Linked DNA regions of Caenorhabditis elegans. The gene in region 4 interacts genetically with the main gene of each other region. Each region holds a gene or a part of one and is shown on either strand. Other genes may lie near its edges.

Region 1 (6,684 bases), on a different chromosome or scaffold from region 4:
TTTAAGAATCATGATATTTCTTTTTAAAAAAAGCTTCCAAAATGTACATATGTCTACATTTACACATCCCCTAAATTTCAAGAGGTCGGCAAAAAACAGTAATGGGAAAATAAACTAAAAAGACTTCAATTGAATTTTTAAGTGGAAATTTAAAAAAAAAACGCTAAAACGTCTAAATATCATTGTGAACCTTTTCAGAAATTTTTATTTACAGCCAAAATGTGGTGATAACTTAGTTTTACCAATCATAATTTGACAGTCGACCAAAAAAAATATATCATCAACCAGTTTTATACGTTTTTAATTTTGTTTCTATAACCATTTGTGTTTTAAAAATTCTATGTTTTTGAACATGAAGCAATGCTCAAAATTACTTTAAAAGTGCACGTTCTTGATAACCGAAATGTTGTCACTAATTCAGCCTGCAATTCTTTGAAATGGTTGCAGTATTTTGTGCAATTAAATGTATATCCATTTTCATGATTTTTTGTTAGCTTAAAATATATTCAAGAAATAAATATTAAACCTTCTTCATTTTCTAAATTATGCGTGCAGGTTGTTGTATCTTTCTCACAAAAAACTGTAAATTGTCAAAGAAATGAGATGGGATTGTAAGAAAAGTGGGTTTGCGTGAAGAGATTTGAAGCGAATTGGTGGGAAAAAGCAAGAAAAAAAGAAAATTGTTTCTAAAGTACTCCAATTATTGGCGGGAAATTGAGAAAACCGATCATAAGCTCAAAAACTAGATGCATCCTGTGAAAAATTGTGTGGAATTGAAATAATAATAATGTTAATAATGTGAGAAAAAACTGGGAGAAATTGGGGGAAAAAATAGAGAAAGAGAGACAAAAAATTCATAGTCATGGAATTCATATAAAGTTTAAAAGAACATAAAAAAGCAAATGAATGAGAAAGAAAAAGCCTATATGGTGCTACAGTAACCGAATGAAATTTTTGATGGGATGTGAATATTTGGGAGACAATACTGTACTGTACATAGAGAGAGACCAAAATAATCGAAACTTAAATGGGATGGAGAAAAAAATGAAATTCAAAGACCCGCTGTTTATATCATATTTTCTCGATTTCAGAGTTCTTAGTGGAGGAGGTGAAACTTTGAGAGAGTACAATATTCATTTAAAAAAATTAAACTTAATAAGCTGGGGTTTCTACTCTTGGTGGGACCGTGGAGACGACGTTGGAGAAGATGCTGGAGATGGCGTCGACGTCTCCGCTTGAGAGTTCAGACCTGAAATTATTTATTCATTAAAATCAAGGCTTAAAAATTGTTCAAAGATTTTTTAAATATTGTATATTGCAATAAACCTAGGCACCAAGTCAATTAAGCTATATTTCAAAAGTTTTTGAAATTTTTAGTTTTTGAAAGTTTTAAGATTGAGTTGTGTGAAAAATGATCTGATTTTTTGAAAATTATTAAAATCTCCAAAAAGCTTTCAGAATGTTTTTTGCATCTAAACAACCTTAAAATCACTAAAATAATGTAAAATCCGGATTTAGAGCAGCTTGACATGCTTGTATTTGAAGGAATGCTCTGAGAAATTTCAGTTCAACGTTTCAAATAAGACTAGGCTTTCTAGTTTTTCCCCATATTGGTCAACTAGAATTGCTTTTACATGTTCAATAAGTTATAAGAAAGTGTTTCCCATCAACTATACGAACGGATCAAATCGGCAATTTATCATTCGGTGACTTGACTCCGGGAGCAGCGCTCCTTTTTTGGACAAAAACTGAGTGACGAAGAACACGCGGTTTAGAAAAACGAGCACACTAATCCGTGGGGTCAATGAGGAGACACTTACTTCAGTTTAAGCCCTTTTTCGTTGCCTTTGACGTTTCGAACAAAATTATTACATAGAAAAGAACTCCTCTTTCTGAGCTAAAACATTTGAAAAGGATCTAGAACTTAAGTGTAGACCCTCTTTTGTTAATGCCTATCTAGAAGCTGTAGCTACTGAACTTTCCCCTTATAATGTGTATCAGAAAACATACACCTATTATCAGTAAATATGGGATGATTAGTGCATTAAATAGCAAAAAAACTGAGCGTCACGACAGGATAACAACTTTAAAATTAAGAGGATTACGTTTCGACTTTTCTTGTTCATGTACAAGCACGCACGGTGTTCAACTAGCTGTCAATCATTCGGAATACCCAAAAAAAGAATGATAAGAAAAAGCAGACAGGTTGCCATGTAACAAAATGTAAGAAAAGTGTATTCACCTGCTCACCTCACCTGCTTCATTTGGAGGAGTTGTTTGTGGTGCCAAAAGTGCAAGTTGTTGCCCTTGAGCAGCTTGTTGGGCTAGAAGTTGGAACATGAATGGGTGCATTGTGTGACGGAACAAAGTTGGATCCAATCGTGCCATTACTTCCATTTGTTTTTTCATTGCGTTTTGGAACAAGCTTCCCGTTAATAGATTTTCGTCTGATGATGGTGGAGAATCCTAAATAAAAAGATGTTTGCTAGGGGTTACCATTATTCATCATCTTGAACTAAATTACTTCACTTTAACAACTTTATGAAAAATATAAGCTGCCAAAAGGCACTGCTGTATGCTTCAATGTATCTTCCAAGTACAGTAACCCATGCCTAAACTTTACAATATGACCCCCTGATCTCCCATCAATTCCTTAATGTACTTTATGAAAATGTATAAAACCATCATTCAATCATGTTTGTTGTTAAAGCGGCACAGTTTTGTCGGCTGCTTCACACTCACCTCACAAGTTTGCACATACACACATACAAATGATTCATACTAGTTTACATCTCTATAAAATGTGCAGAACAAGATGAAGGGAGAGGAGGACTCTTTATTTGCCCCTACTAAACATATAATAGTTTTTAAGTCCATTTCGTAAAACTGTTAGAATAAGAGGGAAGATGGGGAAAACTATAAAATCTGTACAATGTATTTTATGATCTAAACTTTTTTGCTCTCACCTTCTTTGATGAATCGTCATCTGAAGTGACATCGGCAATCGACCACATTTTTGGTTTACGCTTCGGACTTTCAGAATCATCATTTGGAATTGGGGATACTAGTTCTTTCTTCGGTGTTGTCAACTCATCTGATCCTCCAGATCCTCCCGAAGGCGTTGGTGATGCTAGATGTGGCTTTCCGAATAGGGATTCTCCTTTTCTTTCGGAATTTATGGATGTTGAGCTTGATGGACGGTTCATGTCATCATCATCGTCGTCTTCATCGTCATCACAACCATCGCCTCGTCGATTTTGTGGTGACCAAGTCATCTTGTTCTCCTTCTTCAGTCGTCTTCTGGCGTTAGCAAACCATGTCGAGACCTGTAATTAAAAATATAAATTTCAAGCTTCGGCTTTGTTTTTCGGGCTAGAGTTTATTTTAATAAAATAACTTCAAAGTTTTGGTTCAAACAATTTTAAAATCTAATTTTTGGCGCCAAGGTTGTGTGTTGTTGGTCTATTGCAACAAAATCAAACAAGTAGTAGCCCTATTTGGTTTGAAACATTTCTCGTATTGTGTAAAGAATGTCTCTCGAAACACATTAATTAAGCGGGGTACGAGGTGTCATCATCATCGCTTATCGCCTCTGTACATCTTTTGTTTCTCGCCCCTCTTTTTTTGGCATCGGTCAAAAAAGGAGACATTTGCCCCCGGGGTTTGATGGCCGGTGAGTGGCTAATGTTACAATAACACTGCGGGAAACACTGTCTACTACATTTTACAACAATATTTTTTGTGGTATTTGTAATTGATGACTAGAGGCGGCTCTAAAATCCCGTGTGAGCTAATAAATTGAGCAAATATTGTGGAGTAAATTACGAGATTACGGTTGGTAATAGGCTATTACGGCTATTAAATCATTTCACAGTGTTGCATTTACTAATTGTTGTCAAAACAAGAAATAATACAACATACCTGTGTAAGTGTCATTCCTGTACCAACTGCCAACATAACTTTATCAGCTTTTGATGGATATGGATTCTTTCTATGAGAATGAAGCCAATCTTTGAGTGGTGCAGTTGCTTCTCGTGTTGCATTTCTTTTCTTGATTCCATCTAAACCATATGGATGATATAAACGATGAGCATCACTGAAGAACATGGGCATCGGTCCTGGCCCTCCACCTAATAACATTTCTGGTTTCAGATCTGCTGGAATTCCATGTGGAAACATCGGAACTCCGGGGAAGCCAGCAAGAGTTGCTTGTTGAGCGGCGGCGGCGGCTTGAGCTTGAGCAGCGAGAACTTGAGCCATGGCAGGATGGAAATGAAATTGACCTAAAAGGTTTGGTGGCAGAATTCCGCGAAGTGCATCCGGAGCTGAAGTGGGTGGAGCAGGAGTCGTTGTTTGTGGTGTTGTGGGCTCTTCCATTTTGACCTGGAAATGGATTTACTTTTCTAGTCAGGTGAAGTGAAGGTATCCAAACGAATAAATCTGACATTTGGCATCTAAATTTTTTGGAAGGAAGTATTTTGAGACTGTGTTCAAATGTTGTCTAATCTAAGATTTATGTAAAAATTGGTAGGAATCGAAAACGAAAACCTTGTCCAAGCTTTGACAACTTCTCAACTGCAATTTTCTATATTAGACTTGCACCCCCCTCTTCCTTCACTTTGACAGTTTATATCTCAGTTCTTTGTGGTTTTATTAAAAAACTTCAAACGGACAATTTACTTGCAAAATAATTTTCTATGTTTTGGTTGTATAACACTTTTTGATAAAGCTGAAGGCAACCGAGATATAAACCGCCAAGCAGTGGCGGTGCAAGGTTAACATGGCAATTGGAAAGAGCAGGAAGTTGACTCCAAGTGTCAAGAAGGACAAAAATGAAATAAATAAATGTAAGAACACTACTTGAGAATATAGAAATTATAATTTAGCTTATTAAACTTATCGCTTAAAAACTGACCTGATTGGCAATAGGAATCATTGTGATGGTGTAGTAGAAGTAGATGTGTTGATCTCAGTACAAGTGCAGAAACAATAGTTGATAAGTATGATTATTTATGATCTGAAGAACACATTGATATCAGTTATAATTCCAGAGCAGTTTTTTGTTGAAAAAGATAGACAGAGAGAGTGAGAGAGAGGCAGAGAGGCGACGAAATCAAGAGGGAGCAAAGGAGGAGCGATTCAGTGATAAGCATAGAAGAGAAAGAGAAAAGGTTTGATTGATAATTCTTGAAGAAATTGAGATGATGTAGAACTATGTGGGACCTTATGTTCAACAACTTGTTGAGCAATCTCGATTTTCTGCAGATGCCCGCCCGGGGCCGTGTGTGTCTCTCTCTCTCTCTCAAGTCCCGCCCACCATCCAATAGACATGGAAGCCACAGGGCGGGGCCTGGAGAGTAGGGAAAGAAATTGAAGAAGCGCAAAAAACACGTGCGAACACGTAGATTTAACAAGATAAACCGGAGAAATTCACGAAGAGAAACGGAAAAGAATCGGAGTAAAGAGAAGTAGAAGAAGATGATGATGAAGGATACAAGAATCGAACGGAAAGAAAACAAATTGATGATATGGCAACTAAAAGAGATTGAAAGATAAACAATTAACCGTTCCAGCTAATGATTGTAAGAATGATGATGGTTTTGATATCTTACTATTTCATTGTTTAGTGTTATTATTTCCAAGTTTGATTCTAGAATTGTTATTTTTGTGCAAAAAAAATCTTTCGAACCTAATACCTCTCTACCTCTACCAATTATCAAGTTTGGGAATGAAAATTAAGAAATACAAGAACCAAAAATCTCAATAAATGTATTCACAAGGACGAAGAGCAAACAAGTTGTAAATTTGCTGGCTGGCTCACGAATGGAAACTGAAAATTGAAGCAAATAACGGGAAGAGGAAGCTTTGGAAGGATCATTGCATAGAGTTTAATCCGAAATATTGGCAGGATGAAGAGAAAAAAAGTATAAACATTTGAAAGTTAAAAAGTAAAACGACGGAAAATCTAGAGAGTACTATCAAATGACCCGAACACACAATGGCGCCACGAACAAAAAAAGGACAAAGGAGAAGAAGCTGAAATCAGTGAACTTAAGTCAAGAATGATACATCGTAGAAGCAATTAGGTAATGGTCAGAACGGTTTGTAGGGGGACAAGAATTGAGAGAATAGAAGTTTAAAATGGCATGTCTCTTGTTGTCCGAAGCGGGGTGTAAAGAAGTGTAGCTGCTGGATAGGGGGCGCCGGCGAGAGTAAGTGGCCAACGATGGCGCTGATGACGATGATGAAGAAAAAGAAAATGGAGAAGAAAAAGGTAAAAAAAGAGGACACGGTGTAATACATTTACTATTGTGTCAGTTATTGTGTTAACATCTCTCTTTGGGTCATTCGATCATTTAGTTATTACAACATGTAACAACAACACATATATAGTAACATAAAGTTGCAACAAAAAAAGTTCAATGGCGGAAGTTTGTACTAATACAGGAAGATGTAGGTACATATGAGCCAAACAAGACAAAAAGGTGTATGGTAGGGAGATTGATGTCAAACGATGATGAGAAAGCGATGGAGGAGGAGTCATTGGGCGGAGTCAATCGCCGGGGGAGGAACACGGGAGGTAGGAGGGTGTAGACATGAGGTCGCGGCACAATTTATGAGGAGCTGGAGCCAGAAGATGATGAAGCTGTGGAATTGAAGTAGAAGAAGCAACTAGTTAATGGG
Region 2 (4,606 bases), on a different chromosome or scaffold from region 4:
TGAATCAGTGGAATTCTAAAAATGAATCAGAATATTGCAGTTTTATAGAAAATAGTAAACATTCTTTTTTTTTAAATGTTTTAGTTTAAACTGTCATTGAATAAATAGGTTACTGTATTCAAGGCAGCAAAACTTAAATTCAAAAAAGTAACTTTTACCACAATTTAAAACAACTGTGAACAGTTTTCACTAGGAACATTTTTCAGAAATCTTGCTATCAAAAATGTTAAATTTGAAAGTTTATTAGTTAACATTACCGGATTATTTTCGTATTTTGCTTTTATAAAACGTTTCATTCTAATAGAAAAATATTATAATAATTGTGTTTTACAATTTTCGAAATAAATTTGAACAGATCACAAGGAACATAAGATAAAAAAATTTGCATAATTTTTGGAAAATTTGAGGAGAATATTGTCATCTGACTCATGGTTTTGGTTTGCTATTTTGACATCGCTGACTTGGGATTTAAAGAACTTCAAATACGATTTAGAAAATCTGAAACTCATTTTCCTCATACATAAATAGATGTTCAAATGTTTCACTTTTTCAGCAGGAAATTTTGTTTTATACTATTCAAAATCTTATTAATCAAATATGTTTCAACTTACTCTCCCATAGGACCTATTTCTGGGAGACCGCATTAAACAAATAATTTAGTAAATGAACTGAAAAAGAAGAACTATGAATAAAGGTTGGGAGTGAATTGAAGAACGAAAAGTTGAAGAAAAGGGAAAATAGAAAACCATGGATTGACACATACAAAAACAAAATACGTATGTGTATGTAAACGAAACAGGAGAGCAACCGCTACCAAAAAACAACGTTTCTCGAAATTTTTGGAATATCAATTTTAAGATTTTTTTGTAGATCAGAATGCAGCTTACATTTTGTTTCCAGCGACCTAACGTTGAACTTCTACTCGGCGTATGATGAACCGATGAAACAATATGACGGTTTCTGAAAATGAATAATGAATAATTTTGAATTTAATTTCAATAACACTAAACGCTCTTTTCAGATTTTTAAAAAACCCTGCGTAGTTTTCTACTTAGAAAGAATCTAAATTCGTTGGAAACAACGTTTTTTGTTAAATCTTGAATAATCTAACATTTTAGTTATAACCAGAAAAGTGAAATGCCAATATTTATTGGCATTTCCATCTGTGTGAGAAAGTTTTAAACAATTAAATATTTCAAAAAGGTACAGAAAAGGCGCGACTAGACACACTTTTTTACTGGATGCGTGATTTGGTATATGAGCGTAGACCGTTAATCTAGTAGCGTCTCGTCGGAGCAGCGTTTGCAGAGAAAATATTTTGAACATTTGAAACAGCATCATTCAATTGAAACGATGTGAATGATCAATATTCCCATGCAAAAATAAATCGAATGAATAAATGGCTTGTTTAACTTTTGAATTGTTTCAGTTTACAGAAAGGATAAGCTCAATCAATTTTTCCGAAAAATATAAAACTTGAATTGATTTTTTTAAACAATCTTTTGATGCAAGAAAAAATATAATTCCGAACTACCAGGTTAAAAACAATTTCTCAAGGCTACTGCCAATTAAAAAAACAAGCTATTTAAATTTTCTAATTAATACAATGTTTTAGAGAATTTTCGAGAGTTTTTGAATTACCTTATCCAATTCCTTCCTCGTTCAAAATCCATATTTCACCTAAACACGCATTCCTCCTACCGGTAGAGGGAAAAACGTCTAACTCTCAAAAATCAAACCGAAACAAATCATTGAGAGAGGAAGATCGAAAGAAAAAAGAACGAGGTGAGAAATGTGGGTGTGTGGGAATGAAGGTGACGGGAACTCACAGAATGATGTTTAAAACAGCTGATTCCAGCTGATCGATAATGTTCAGAACCGGAGTCGTATCCACAGAGCACGTATCAAATTTCAAGTCTGGAATGAACAATTTTTCAGACTTCTCTTGACAGGTTCAGAGAAGACTGGTGTCAGTGTACGGAACAGCATTACAAATTGATTATACTGATTGAATGAAACTTTGAGATTAATTTTTTTGAAATCGTTGTAGGTTTTATGACTGATAAAATTCTACGCCAATAAAGTCAAATCGTTACAATTTTTACAAAATTATGTAAAAGCTCAAACTCCTAATAAACAATTACATAACATGTATCTAGAATTAAACCTAATAATAGTAATTCTGAAACTGAAATATATTGGAATATCAGAGGAACTATCAAATGATGCCGGAAATAAAATGAACATTGGCCTAATGAAATACGTTTAGTATTCCTGTGATGATGCACATAAAACAACTTTTTTTTGTCTTTTTCCACGAAAAGAGAGAGTAAAATTAAATGAGAAATGTGTGCAGAAGAGCAACAGAAGAGAAGAAGATGAGAGAATATGCTCTCACTTACACATACCTTTGACGGCTTGCACAAGTTGAAGAGACAGCAAAATGATGGGATTTGTTTTGAATTGAGAGTATTTAAACAAGTCCCGCATGGATTCTGACACCATTTCCAATGATGCATGCACATTTACACACATTGATTCACCGTCTGCAAAATTTGTAATTTCAGATGAGGAAGTTGAGTATTACATAACGTTAATTTAAAAAAAAAACATGTAAGCTCTGGAAGTTACAGTTCGATCGTAGGAAACTTCAAGGATCAGATAAAACATTTAGTGCTCCAAAATAACTGTTAGTACATTATTAAATAGGCTTTTCGATTTTCAAGGCTTTGCTGAAAAATAGTTTCAAATTTTAAACCATTCACCGAAACATTACATTTAAAAATCTAGTTGTATTTTCTTAACCTTGCGCGTTTTCCTGAATTTCCGCTACACTCTATAAATAATTTTTAAAAAAATTTAATTTTCAGACATACCAACAACCGAAGAATTGAGATCCAAAGTTGACCGAAGTCGATTTATAAAAACTGAAAATCGATCAATATCTCTACGTATTGATGCCGGAATTCTGGTGTCAACAATGAAATCGGCATCATTTGAAGAGCATATACTGCTCGTCGACGACATTGCGTCGACTTGATTTCAGTCAACTTTCTGAGAGTTTGTCTGAAAATATTTGAGAATAAATTAAAGAAAGAGCTCATTGAAGCGGTTTCAATTACAAGAGTATTCCATGATCAACGAAGGAAAGGAAGACAACAAAAAACAATAATCATAAAAAGAGCTTCAAAGAAAATATTTCCGTTTTTAATTGTGAAAAAGTTGTGCGCGATAGAGATATGACATAATTTTTCAGACACTTCCAGAATACTTTTAGGAATGAGAACTAGAGAAAAACAAGAGCACATTCCAGGAAAATATATATCTATTTTCTATTCCTACTGAGCTAGTTTTCAAAAAAAGTCCAATAAAAATGCCTTCCTTTCTACTGGAACTATTCCTCTTTTTCACGTTTCACTGATCTCAAAAATTGATAACAGAGGTGGTTTGAAAGTTCATAAACCTTGAAAAGCAATGCTTCAAGATACATGGATTCACATTTTTGTCACGAAAAAAGAAAAAAGACAGATCTAATCAATTAGACTCCCGTTATACATTTTTTTTGGTGAAAACAACGAATTCCTTCTCTTTTTCGCGATTTTGATAGTAGAATATTTTAAAATCAACAATGTTTGAAAAAGGAATTCATCAAAAAGATTCGAATTTCTGAATTTAAAATTTTTAAAGGAGCAGATACTTGAAATGCGTGAGAAAACGCCTACTGGCAAGAACTGTGGTTTGATCAAAGGGTTCGGTTTATTGAAAATGAAAGAATCAGGAAATTTTCTTGATATTTTGAGAACACGGATCTTTTAGAGGAAAATAGGATATATGAAGTTATTTTTCCAAAAAAAAAAAAACAGAAACGGAATGTAAAATAGCAGTAGAAAATAAAAAATGAATGAATACAATTTTTGTCGTTACATTTTTTTTTTATCTACGATGATACAAATTTTCTACAGAAATCCAATTTTATAATTGAATTTATTCTCTTAACTGAATATCTTGTTCTCAAAATTTCAAAATGGGAAACCCCGGAAATTTCAGTTTCAATAATGAAAATAAATTCAAATAGAGAAAAAACATCTTTCAAAATATGGTGTGAAAACTTTTCCCAAAAAAATTCTCAAAAACTATCCTTTTCCTATCCGCATCATCATCATCATGTTCTGGAGCACAAGAGAGAAGGATGACGTCTGCGATTCTTCCTTTTTCTGCCCCACGCTTTCTTTTGTTGGTTCCACAGATTGGGTGAACGAAACGGAAATGCTCAAAAAGCACTCTAGAATGGAAAAAATAACTTTTTAAAATAAGGAACTTTGTTTTTGTTTTTGCTTTGTTTTTGAAACTGGACAACTTTTTTTCGGAAAATTCAGAAAAAAAGGAAAAATGTGTGCTTTTTTTTCAGAAAAATTTCAAGAGAACTCAATTTCAATTTCCGAACTTTATTGTCTTTGTTCTTCAGTTTTTGTGTCACAATTCGAAAAGAGAAATTATATTGTAGAGTATAATTTAGAACAAGAGCATTTTCTTGTTGCAGTTCCCATTATTTTTCCAGAAAAACAAACTATTACAGCGTAACTTAAACAAAAAGTGTTAATCTATA
Region 3 (7,983 bases), on a different chromosome or scaffold from region 4:
TGAATTCTTAAGGTAATGTTTTAAAATTAATTCTGGACTTTCAAATTAAATTTGTGTATCAATTTCTGATCGACTTTCAAATATCACAGGTTTTATTTGAAAGTTCAGAAATAAGTTCAAAGCGTTTAGCTTGATGATGGCGGAGATGATTGACTTGATGGGGGACTTGATTGGAGTATGTGTTGAAAGAATAACGGATTCAATTGAGGACTCGTTGAGTAGGAGGGTAGGAACATCATCGGTGAAGGCAGCAGCGTTGGGTAGGACTGAAAATCAAAGTTTTAGTAATTTGTTTTCTAATATATAGTTTCGATTTCTAACTAACCGGCGGAGATGATCCAAAACCTTGAACATTGTACTGTTGATACATTGGCATATTTTTCCGACATCTTGCTCGCCGATTCGAAAACCACGTCATAATTTTCTCTTCGCTGAGCCCTGTCTCCTTGGAAATGCTCTCTCTGGCGTTGGCATGTGGGTAAGTGTCTGCGCGGAACGCATTTTCAAGAACATCTAGTTGCTCGGCAGTGAATGATGTACGATTTCGACGAGACGATGCGTCGTTTGATGGTGAAGAGCCCTCTTCGTCATCCGATGACGATTTGCTGCATTCGTCTGAAAATTATTTTTTTGAAAGGGGTTATCATAGCTACCATTTTTGGGTACGTGAATGCATTTTTGAATTTTCATTAACAAACTCTATACATCCTCTCTCTATACAGACTTTCGAAATGTGGAACTAATATTTTTCATCTGCCATTTTTTTCATCCGTTGAAAATCGAAAGGGCAAATGTTCCAGGCGTAATTAAAATAACAAACATTTTCAATAGCATGCGACGTCAAAAGTTGAAGTAACTATTGCAACTAGAATATATTTGATACCAGGGAGGCTCTAATGAATAATGAGCATGCTGAAATGCCTTTCTGAAAGGCTTCCGGACTCGCCTGCCTCGAGACTGAAAATTATTTGAGTTCCGCATACGTTCTATTTCAAAAATTCAAAATCAGACCCCCGCCTATCAAGCATTTTCCCTCAAAATCCGGAAATCAATGAGTCAATTGTAAGGTATCTAACAGAGAAAGACTACGGCCTGCCAGTCGAGTCGCCCAATTACTATATATAATGTTGCGCCACAGTGGGTGGTCTCAGTCATGTCGTAGGCCTCTCGCATAGACACACTTCTCTAAAAATAATCGATAAAGATCGGGAGAGACCCTATTGCGGGTGGGGGAGGGGGGGTGTCTCTTCTAATTTATAGACTTGACACCTTTGTGTACTTGAGAAAGAGATATCATGTGGTGGAATGGACCCTATTAATTTGTTTTTATCGTTCCATTTTTTGACGGATCACTCCATCATCACCGTCGTTTCTCACATCCAAGTTTTATGAGCTGTGCGCTAATCGGTTTCTGTCACAGGAGTATTTTATAGTGACGGAAGGAAGGAAGGTAAGGTTATTTCTATACAATGTTCTAATTTGAAGAATGTCGATTTCAAGGATGCTCAACTTGATCTTTTATCTCATTAATATTTTTCATCCGTTCTTGTCAAATCAAAGCAGATTTCTACCGCACTTAGTCCTCTTTCTGGTAATAGTCTGCAGAAAACTTTAGCTACTTGCCGAGTAGAGTAAGATTTTCAAAAATGAATTCTCCCTTAAGCATACTGTAGTTTTTAACGATATCGTTCTATAATTCCCAATGCTCATTAAGAACGGCGCGGGGGAGTGCTATAATATATTCCCATTGAGCAATGTATTCTGAGCGTATTCCAGGAAGAAGAAACTTTTGTTTCCATTTCTTTTTTCACCTGGAACTTTATCACTCCAGTCTCTGATACCTAAATATCAGTCGTTGCGTTGTGTTTTCAACGGCTACCTATTTTTGGAAAATATTAATTTTTGTTACTTATGAATGTAATAGAAATATAGACATGTGGAAAATCATGGAAGTATTCTGACAAATTCGGGAAATTTCTGAAAAATCACGTTACCGCACCGCCGAGTTCAAACTTTGGTTCAAGGTTTGTGGTGGAGAGAGGGTAACTCGGACTCGGTAAAAACTTGATAATAAACAAGCTCACAATGATCTGTCATGCCTGCCTGCCTTCCAGGCAAGCTGACCAACACCTACTAACGATCTTGCGCAACATACCGTAACCCACATCCCTAACAATCATATTGTCAAATGTCAAATGTCAAAGTTTTAATGTGTTAAATTGCGGATATGTATTATGTTCGTATGCATGTGTTTGCTTTTTTTCGCGCATCCCAATCTTCTCTCGCGCCAGTCACTCGTGTGCCCATCCTGATCAATTGGCCGCGAAAATATGGAATTTATTGGATCGTTTTCTCCTCCTCCTACCTACCTATTTGAATAGGCACCTATCAAGTGCGCAAATCTTCTCCCCCTATCTTAATTGCTACGTGTATGCGAAAATGTGCGAAGTTGAGCGGTGGTTCACAATTTAAGGAATGACAAGATTGACGACAAGTTAGGAAGCGGGAAAAAACGGGACAGGAAGAGAGGGGAAGTGTTGAAAGTTTTGGAAGACAAGAAGTTGAAACAGCAGGAGGTAGTGGCATGACCCCTAGAAATTCAAGTAACTTGCAAAAACATAAGTTTGTGGCTGTCTAGTTTCTTATAAAAAGTAGGCTAAAAGTTTTGGAAGTTTTAAAAACCAAAAATTTCACTTTTATTCGTTCTATATAAACAGTCTCAAAGCTGTTGTTAAACTTGAATTTTCAGACAAAGATTTAATGAAACTGTTTGGAGTGCCGAACATGATAAAAATGCCTGCCTGCGTGCCTACAAGGTAGGCGTATGATGCCTGGAATTTGACATGCTCTTTCTTTAGATTACGATTTTCTTGCACAACTACCGTACCCTACCGAATGTGATTAACAACTGAGCACAGATCAAACAAGATTTTAGGATCAAAAGTGCCTGCTTACCGGACATCAAGGCGACCTACCTATAGGCTTCACAATGCAACATCAGACCCTAGACTTCACACCAAGATGTAGACGAATAGGCAGTAGGCAAGCTAACAGGTAGGCCTGAAGACACGCGGGACATTCCGGTACGCTTGTTGCAGATCAGGAGAAACAAAATGCGGTACACTACCGTAACCCGTAATTCAATCAGTCATGGTTCTCTCCCTGAAGATCTCCGTGGCGGCGCACAGCATGCAACTCACAAACAAATACGATGGTCTTGTTGATTAAAATCAACCCCTGACGCGTGCCCCCTTGTCTAATTCACATCATTCTTCACCGACGCTTCTTGTCCTTTCCGCCCCCACTTCTTCAACGTCTTCGCCTTTATCGTCTTATCACACCGTTAACATACACAGCGACATACAGGCGATACTAATCAAAGTGTTAATGACCGTTATTATATCAAAGAAGTCCAATATACAGTATGCCCTCTGGCCCCTTTGGGAATATTGGGAGGAATGAAAACTTTCATGCTACGTCTGTTTGTGTGTTACTATATGGCAGAAGAAAATTGAATTGAAAGAACGGAATGTTGCCTGATTGAACAGGAAATCCGACACCCAAAAAAGGTGTTGGAGGACATGAGACAAACGGAACGAAATTATAAATGTGTGAAATCAAGACTATTCCAATTAGACCACTTACCAATTGAAATTCCCAGAATGCTGTCGATACTGTAGCTCAGCCGTTTTCGTTCCATTTTCTTCGGAACCCCGACGCCTGCAAAAAAGTATGTGGTGATTTGTGTGAAGATAAATATTGATAAGGAAATTAAAACAAAAAAAAGTGATAAGGAAGATATGATGAAAAAGTGCAGCAAAAAAGATGATATGATTGGCGTGAAGAAATGATTGATGAGGTTATAGAAAGTGATAATTTGATCGAATATGTCTAGAAGTTCTTCTTGTGAGGTTTGTTGAATTTTTGTGGAAAATCACGCATCAAAAAATGACGCCCAAGCAAGTTTCCATGAAAGTATTCGAAACAAAAAAAATCGTTGTCAACAGTTAAACAAACACAACCACAGCTATCAGAAGCGGAACATTCATCAAACGAAACGAATTTCTGTTTGTTTTTCATCTATTCCTCTACCTTTTTTTTGCCTTCACAGTTTTCATCATTATTATACCTTTATTCCCAATAAGCCTTTTTATCGCAGGTACTGTTGGAGCATTTCCTTTTGTGCAAATGTCTTTGTGAATAAGCCAATCTCGGAGCTCTGCAGCGCTCATTTGTGGATTCTCATCACATGCGATCAGAATTTCTTTCTCGACGGCTTGGACTGTAAGTCGAGCGCGGGGACTTCCACCGATCTGAAATTAATTCATAGATATTTATGTTTAAAAAGCATTTGCTTTCGCTAGGCTTATGTAAGAAATATGACGAATATTTTCGGCAAATCTACAAAACTGCCCAATCCCAGATTATAACTCTTTTTTTTATTAAATTAAATGTAGAAATATAGATAGAAAAATATTTGATCAGTTTGAAAATATCAGTTATTTGCATTGAAATAGTCGAGAAAAATTTCAAAAACTGTTTCAAAGTTGTCATTTGCCGAAAACGTTTTGATATCAGTTCTTGGAAAGTTTCAGGTTGTTTTTGAGATGATTTTAAAGTTTATAAATGAATAAAAATTGTTTTGTATATTTGCACTCCCCGTTCTACACTCTTTGCCGTTTTGCAACCAACAAAATGGAATTTTCAAGAATTCAAAGTTTACTTTTTTTGGAATTGTAATTACCGTATGTTTTTGGTAACCAAAAACCTAGTAGACAACAACTACTTTAACAGAAACACAGACATCCGACGCATTTTTTGAAAAATGCCGAAAAGTGCCACCCGGGGCGTCGCACCTGCGCGACCCGCCAAAATTGAGTATTACGGTACTTTTTTGAATCAGGACGACGACACGCGGCACGTGTAGGCAAACATTAAATTTTATGGTTATGATTCGCCTGCCTGATGACCTAATTAGCAAATTATCTTATCATCCAGAAAATGCACTGACCTGTCCCGGAGATATTGAGCCCGTCTCGGCGTAACGATTCAAGATTTTCGAAACAGCTCCATGAGATACTTTGAGTTGACGACTGATGTGACATGGTCTAAAAGATTATTGTTAGTGTTCTCTAGAAGTTCGGACTACTTACTTTATACCCTTTTTGGCCATTGAAATGATAGCATGACGAACGTGAATTGGAAGGGGTCGACCGTTGATGAAAACTCCACCGAGTTGGTTAACACGACCCTGAATTAATTTTGGGCTTCAATAGAGGCGGTGAGAAAGGAGAAGAAATTGAGACTTGGAAAACTCAAAACATATTTTCAAAAACTTTTCAAATGCTATGAAAATCTAACTTAAGGCTAACTATAGTAATGATACTATCTAATTTTTGTGATGCTTGATGAGCTCTATTAACAATAAATCAAAAGTTTCTATAGGCTACAACTTCAAACTGTATAATTAACAAGAGCTTAATTTTAGCTCCTTAAAACGTCTGAGCCAGTATAGAAATAATTCGAAATTAACGTACATTCTAGAACCATCTAGAATTTCCAAAAATTTCTTCAATCAAATTTTTCCGGGATACATCTCCTACTTCTAGACATTAAAAAATACCTGAGCAGTAGTTTATGCACTACAACTAGAAAACAACTTATCGAAACCATAGACTTACCTGCCCAAGAATGTGATTAAATGTGATAGAATCTGTGGTCATTTTGTTAGTAGTGGATGGGATATCAGGAGCACGTATGGCTGGCCCCCAATATACCGAATGTGTGAATATCAGGTATATAGCGTGAAAACTTAAGGAGCGAGTAGTTTCGAGGTGACACGCCTTGTCGAACTGTGAATGGGCGGGACGGCGATCCCGCCCACCTATGCGCATGCGCGGTCTGTTACAGGCATGCATAGTCTCGAGTACGGTAATCGAAACCAGCGAGACATAGAGAAGGGCGAAAGACACGGGCGGTAAGCATCAAAGGACGTACTAGTAGATGTTGGCGCGGGGTATGTGGGTTTGTTATCAGAGATATTCTGACTAGGAGGTGGATTTTTGGAGATGAAGATTTATGTGCTCGATGGTTTTGATTTGAAAGGTCAATGTTTGGTAGTAGCACCTGCAAAATGGTGATTCACCTGTGGATAGTCTCGAAGAAAAGGACATCTAGGAGCGTGCGGATCTTGCAGATTCAAAATATTTGCAGATAGCTACATAGATCTAAGCAGTCCACCGTGCTTCTGGGTGAAGCTAGAAGTAACTCTAACATGAAACTGGAACCAGAAACGAATACTTCAAAACTTTAAAAATCGTTCATGTCCATTAAAAGCTTAAACAGCGTTAGAATTATTCATGCTACTAATATTTGAAAACAGCTTCTTAATGGATTTCAGACAAAGTTTACTTTCTTTGTTTGCTTTTTCGATTATGTGATTTGTTGGACTTACCTAACACAAAAATAATTTTCTGATTACCAAAAACATACATATTCCAAAAGTTGCAATTTCACGGAAACAAGAACAGATAGAACAAACAGACAACTTTCGAGAGTAGTGTAACTTGTTGGCAATGACCAATTTCCCCATTTTCATTTCCAGTGTTCAAAAGTGTAAACATATTTTACAAACAAAAGAGGTCAGGAGGAAAAGTGCTTCGAGGATACGGTACAAATATTTCCAATGAGAAATTTAAAGATATGACTTTGCAAAGATCGACTACATTCTTGCCTACCAGCCTACGGGTAGGTTAATTTGAAATCTGAAAAAACTAACATATATATGTATCTGTAATTTGAGACCAGTGTTAGTTGTAAGTTTGGAAAAATAGTTGTCACCTCTATTCATTCAGATTTTCAAGTATTTCTATAACTATTCTTTTTTCAGTATCCCTTTACTCTGTCTTATCTGATTATTCAATTTCAGACGTTCTTTTAGACCTATCTGTTTTGTGTCGGCCCGACTTAAGAACCTACTTGTCTTATCTCGATCTACAATGTGCAAAACAAGTTCATCCGCGAACTGTCAATCAATAAATTGCTCGCAATTAGCGAGTCGGTGTTTGGGAGGGCTCGTGTTGGGAAAGTTTATGTCATTGAGATGAATAATGGTATTTTTAGTTGTTTACCGACGGTGTCTAAAGATATAAATCTATTCTAAACTACACAATTGGAGAATTATTTGTGAGTTTCAGTTAGAAACAAAACGTGAAAATATGTGAAATAATGTGAAATAATCCTAGTCATTAATCCTTTATTACCCCATACAAATAGCCTTTTAATACCGAAAACACCTGAAAACTACACGTGCATTACCCAATCAACAAGTAGGGCCCAATTTCTTTTTCGGCACGTGTCACATCATCATTTCCTTCTTCATCTTCCCGGATTGCGCAAGGTTGTCTTACACCATTTTCCTGATAATCTGGGACCATGTTATCAGGGGGACGAAGAAACGGTGGCGGTATCGTTTGAAGTGGTATGCGGTCATAATTAAGGGCCACGCGCCGATGTCAACTTTTGGGGGTCTTCACACCTTTGTAACACTTGGATATATCTTTATCTATCTATCCGGAGAAGTGTGAGATGATGATGATGCGGGGTTTTCCGCTATCTGAAAAGGGCATCATCTATGGAGAATTGATGGGCTGAGTGCGGGAGTTTGTTGACAAAATGTGAAAAGAGTTTGTCCCAGCCACCGTGTTACAGTGTCTCATTAAACTCTACAATACTTATGTCATTATTGTAATTTCTCAAATAGATGATACAACACTTTAAAGGCACACACTGTTTGAAATGAAACATTAGAAAATATACTAACTTCAAATTAAAAATATGAAATTCTTGAAAATTTAGCTTATTGACAGCTGTCTCCATTTATTGTTCGAAGTTCTGGATTCTTATTATTTGTATTTCATCATAAGACTACAGTAATCCAAACACCTTTCAGCTCGATTTCGACCGGTCTCCTTCTCAAGTTCT
Region 4 (5,032 bases):
CGGTTTGATCTACAAAAAATGCGGGAATTTTTTCCTCGGAATAATGTGACGTCCCGCCTTTTTCGGAGATCAAACCAAAATGGGACACTTTGAGACCACGTGCAGATACACGTGGAGTCAGGCTGTCCCATTACGGTTTGATCTACGAAAAATGCGGGAGAAGAGACGCAGAGTTCTCAACTGATTTCGCATGGTTAAGAGCGTGCTAACGTCACATTTTTTCTGGGAAAAAATTCCCGCATTTTTCGTAGATCAAACCGTAATGGGACAGCCTGGCACGAAGTGGACATATGCAATATAATTTTGAGATGAAATTTATGAAAAAAGAGAATTTGAAACAAATTTAGCCAAAATTGGCCAAAAACCGATAATTTAATCTTAAAATTATACCCTTTTTCCAGAAAAAAGTCTGAAAAAATAATATTTCCAATTATAAAACAGAAAAAAAACAAAGAAAACCCAATTAATATATCGTTTTTCGGCAATAATATTGCCGACGGCTATATTAATTAGATTTTCCTTTTTTTTTTCTTTGCAAACAAGTCTAATTATCGATTTTCAGGTCAATTTAGGTCAATTTCAGAAATTTCTGGGATTTTTTTTTTTTGAATTTTCGCTTCAAAATAACCAAAATAGTCTCAAATTCGGAAAAAAATACACAAGAAAATCGTGAAAATTTTGGCTAACTTTGAATTCCCACCGCAACGAAAACTGCACAACCAATCAGCGCCACCAAACTCCGCCCACTCCATCTGATTGGTTGAAGAATGGGCGGAGCGAATCGCTGATTGGTCGCAGCAGTCAGGGTTGTAGATTTTGCCGTGTTTTTGGCGAAAAATGTGTTTTTTTTTGTTGCTTTTTTTTCGAAAAAAAGATTGATAAAAAGCGGAAAATTCTGATAAATTGAAAAATATAGAAAAATATTAAATTTTACATAAATTCCAAAAAATCACACTCGAATTTTTTTTAATGCAATTTTGGTCAAAATAAGCAAGTTTTTTTTTAAAATAACGTTATAAACTGAAAAATGTTTATTCTTTTCGCTTTTTTGTGTTTTTTGGCGAAAAATTTATTATTTCTTCGTATTTTTCGGCGAAAAATGTTTTGTTTTCAAAAAAAAAATTTTTTTCTCGTTTTTCGATTTCGAAAACAAAATTGTGTTTAGCTAAAATTGCGATTTTTTTGGTTTTTTCTGAATTCAAGACTATTTTTATTTTTATTTTTTCGAAGCAAATTTTCTGCTGAATAGGTTTTTTTTATATTTTTCTCCAAAAAAAAGCAGTACCTTATCCCCGTTCATCGCCACATCAAGATTAGCCATCGTAATCTTTTGCTCACTATTTCGAATATTTTTCACATAATTTCCAGTCAGCCTGAGCACATCTTCAGTAACACTTTCACATGCATAATAAATATAGCATGCGATACGTTCGATTTCCTTCTTTTCTCGATCTTTTTTCTCTTTTTCTCGTGGTCCAAGTGTTTCTTTGATGACTGCTGCCAGGCGATGTTGGCTTTCTAGAACTGTTTTCAGGGCTTTTTGATATTTGTGCTTTTGGAGTTGTTGGTGCATGTTGTCCCAGGCTTCCTGCAAATTTTGAAATAATATTTAAGAAAATTCGAGAAATCAGAAAAAATACACATTTTAGGGGGAATATTGCTCCGAAAAATTCAAAAATAGTCTCAAATTCTGAAAAATCCAAATTTTAAAATCACGAAAATTTTCGAAAGTTGAATTTTTCAATATTTCGTGGTTTGTTCATTTTAATTTGTGGTTTTTCAGAATTTTAGAATTTTTAAAAATATTTTTTTCCCAAAGAGTATATTTCATTTTTCTTGTATTTATGTTAGGTGGAAAACGTTTTTTTTTGTTGGTTTTTTCACCAATTTCACTACTTTTTTAATATTTTTTTTGTCCAAACCCAGATTTTTTAGGCAAAAAAAAGAAAAATTTGTATATTCATAAATCACCAAAAAAGATCGTGATTTGATTTTCAAAACTATTCATTTTTTGTCTTTTATCCTGAATATTCAAGTTTATGGAATTCTTTCCGCTTTAAAATATTTTATTTAAAATGTACTACGAGAACACAAAAATCTGAGAATGCGTATTGCACATATTTGACGCGCAAAATGTGTCGTAGCGAAAACTACAGTAACCCTTTAAATGATTACTGTAGCGCTTGTGTCGATTTACGGGGCCCAATTTTCGAAATAAGCTCCATCGCTTTTAATACGAAAATCGAGATCTCGTAAATCGACACAAGCGCTACAGTAGTGATTTGAAGGATTACTGTAGTTTTCTTTTTCGCTACGAGTTATTTTGCGCGTCAAATATGTTGTGCAATACGCATTCTCAGATTTTTGTGTTCTCGTAGTACATTTTAAATAAAATATTTTAAAGCGGAAAGAATTCCATAAACTTGAATATTCAGGATAAAAGACAAAAAATGAATAGTTTTGAAAATCAAATCACGATCTTTTTTGATGATTTATGAATATACAAATTTTTTGGAAACATTTTTTGAAAATCCCTTACTTTACAAACAGTCTGCAGACCGAATGCGAACAGCTTTTTCGCAGTTTTGTCCACTTCGACGACACTTGTGGCACGTGCTTCGATGAGCTGAAGAGGGGAAAGGATTACAAGGTCAAGAAATGCACAGGGGGAATTTATTAATATTAATTTATTTGTTAGATTTGAAAAAAAACCGATATATACATATATATATATACCTCAAAAACGATACTTTGCAAAAAATATCGAATGTGCTCAACTGCAGCATTGTCAATCGGGAGGCCAGGATGTACGATATTGCATATCTGAAATTGAAAAATATTATTGAATTCAGGAAATATTCAAATATATACAAACCTGATAAATTCTTTCATCAAAAATAGCCGCCCAATGCTTACTAGTTGATATTGTTCGTCGGCTGGTCAACGAGACCGTATCCGATGATGCCGAGTGCAGTGATATGCTCATTATGCTCATTTATATGACCATCTGCAATGAAATTTTGAATTATTTAGGAAAAAATATATTAGTGGGCCAACAATAAGTTACGAGTTAAAATTCATGAATTAATAAATTCTTACGCTGACAATCGATTTTTTTTTAAATTTTCTAATCACCAGAAGTACCTTAAAGTGAACAGAAAAAAATATTTTAGCATATACCGTCAAATGAAAAATTTCCGAATTTTTTCAATTTATTTTGTTTAATAAAATTGTTTTTTTTTTCGTTGATATATGGAACATAATCCAATTCCTCGAAAAAATTGGAATTTGCCGGAAATGTTTAGAGGGATTTTTATAAGATGGGAACATTTAAAACTGCCCCTTTTTTAAATTTTTTCTTACAGTTCAAAACAGACGTAGGAAAATTCATAGGATGCGTACAATTTCGCCGATTTAGATTGAAATTCTGAAATTTCCAACAAAAAAAGAAGTGCAAAACCACGTTTCGCCGAAAATTTTCGACAATTGCCACTTTTCCGGTTTATTGCCAATTTGCCGGAAATTTCAATTCCGGCCATTTGCCGCTTTGCTGGAAAAAATCGGCAAACGATTTTTGCTAACTTTCCGGCAAATCAACATTGCCGGAATTGACAATTTCCGGCAAATCGGCAAACCGGCAAATTGTGGCCTTGCACTTTTTTTTTGGGAATTCCAGAAGTTCAATTTCAATCAGCAAAATTGTACGCATCCTATGAATGTTCCTACATCTATTTTGAAAAGTTAGCAAATTCTATGAAAATATCTAAAGAAAACCGGAAAAAAATTTCAAAAAGGCACAGTTTTAAGTGTTATGAAAAATATAAAAAAATATATAAAAAACCCTCATTTTTCTGGCAAATTGATATCCGGCGAACGGCAAATCGGCAAATTGCCGAAAATCGAAATTTCCGGCAAATTGGCAAATCGGCAATTTGCCGAATTTGTGGACAAGAAAATTTGCCAAACCACAATTGCCGGACATCCCTGGCTGGTAACATAAATTCCGGCAATTTCAGAAAAAAAAATCTGCATGCAAGGAACGAATTTATATATTTTTTTAAATTTTCACTTTTGCAAAGTTTATTTAAGACAAAAACTATATTGACGAGAGCGAGAAAAGCAAGATGGAGAAGAAGGAGAAAAGTGTATGATGGCGATGATGATGATGATTACAACCCGCAAAAATAATGCATGGAACAACACACACACTGAAAAGAAGAAATAGAAGAAAAGATGGAGTGTGATGGAAGCGTAGAGGTGACAGACAAGCGGACAGAATGATACGGGATGAGAACGGGAAGCGGGGGGTTACCCGCCGGCGGCTGCTGACGAAATACTGCAGGAATCTGTGAGAGATTCTAGAGAAATGGACACCCGACAACGGCCGGCCACCATCTCTCACCACGGCCTTGTTCTATTCGAACCAGTTTGATCTGTTGAGAAGACTTTATATATTTATTGATTTGCAGTGCAATCAGTAGCCCCACCTAATCAACACAAATACACTACTTCAAGGTCGACTCTTTTTTGATTCTCGTTTCGATTTTTTTGAGGTCAAATTCGATCGAATTGAAGAAATTTGAAAAGTAGTAGAGATTTTGGTTATTTTGCTTGAATAGACCAAAACTGACTGGATATCATAATGAGACTTTTTTCTTAAAAAAAAATCGAAAAAAAAGCCGAAATTTCGGCAACTCTTGCTTATGGCAGCCTCTGGAATTTTACTTACAGTTTTTATTAAATTATCACCCTTTATTGCATACTTTTATCGTTTATCTCATGCTAAAAGTGGTGTAGTCGATTTTTTATTTCGATTATTATTTCTTGACTAAACTCAAAATAGTCTGAAAACACCGAATTTTATAATGAAACATCTTGAAAACTTGTTTTAAAAAAGTTATGGTGGCTCAAAAAATGGCCTAGGTTTAGTTAAAATTTGAAATTTGACCGACTTCTCAATGTCGCAGCAGCTGGAAACAACTTTTTGTTGAAATCACTATATCTATAGAATAGTTAATTATCTTGCGTGTTT

The links.
Region 1: of sos-1 (region 4) and irx-1, changing one enhances a phenotype caused by changing the other (phenotypic enhancement), as found in Caenorhabditis elegans (one large-scale study listed by BioGRID).
Region 2: of sos-1 (region 4) and spv-1, changing one enhances a phenotype caused by changing the other (phenotypic enhancement), as found in Caenorhabditis elegans (one large-scale study listed by BioGRID).
Region 3: changes in sos-1 (region 4) and pax-3 together harm fitness more than expected from each alone (negative genetic interaction), as found in Caenorhabditis elegans (one large-scale study listed by BioGRID).

The regions. Positions count from the first base shown.
Region 1 is NC_003279.8:9,535,950-9,542,633, forward strand, and holds irx-1 (Putative iroquois-class homeodomain protein irx-1), read right to left. Parts: upstream 5,018-6,684; 5' UTR 4,937-5,017; coding exon 4,916-4,936; intron 4,384-4,915; coding exon 3,922-4,383; intron 3,722-3,921; exon of another isoform or gene 3,582-3,721; intron 3,327-3,581; coding exon 2,967-3,326; intron 2,467-2,966; coding exon 2,256-2,466; intron 1,250-2,255; coding exon 1,170-1,249; 3' UTR 516-1,169; downstream 1-515.
Region 2 is NC_003280.10:7,925,629-7,930,234, forward strand, and holds the start of spv-1 (Spermathecal Physiology Variant), read right to left. Parts: upstream 3,028-4,606; coding exon 2,877-3,027; intron 2,795-2,876; exon of another isoform or gene 2,717-2,794; intron 2,547-2,716; coding exon 2,409-2,546; intron 1,918-2,408; coding exon 1,830-1,917; intron 1,674-1,829; coding exon of another isoform or gene 1,642-1,673; intron 961-1,641; coding exon 888-960; intron 16-887; coding exon 1-15.
Region 3 is NC_003280.10:10,144,588-10,152,570, reverse strand, and holds the start of pax-3 (Paired box protein 3 homolog), read right to left. Parts: upstream 6,002-7,983; 5' UTR 5,724-6,001; coding exon 5,682-5,723; intron 5,252-5,681; coding exon 5,154-5,251; intron 5,109-5,153; coding exon 5,012-5,108; intron 4,314-5,011; coding exon 4,130-4,313; intron 3,721-4,129; coding exon 3,646-3,720; intron 616-3,645; coding exon 326-615; intron 267-325; coding exon 126-266; 3' UTR 1-125. UniProt on the Caenorhabditis elegans protein: Transcriptional activator. Regulates the lateral/ventral epidermal cell fate decision.
Region 4 is NC_003283.11:4,546,285-4,551,316, forward strand, and holds the start of sos-1 (Son of sevenless homolog), read right to left. Parts: upstream 3,008-5,032; 5' UTR 2,996-3,007; coding exon 2,876-2,995; intron 2,824-2,875; coding exon 2,737-2,823; intron 2,627-2,736; coding exon 2,540-2,626; intron 1,589-2,539; coding exon 1,286-1,588; intron 1-1,285. UniProt on the Caenorhabditis elegans protein: Promotes the exchange of Ras-bound GDP by GTP. May regulate signaling pathways downstream of receptor tyrosine kinase, egl-15 and let-23.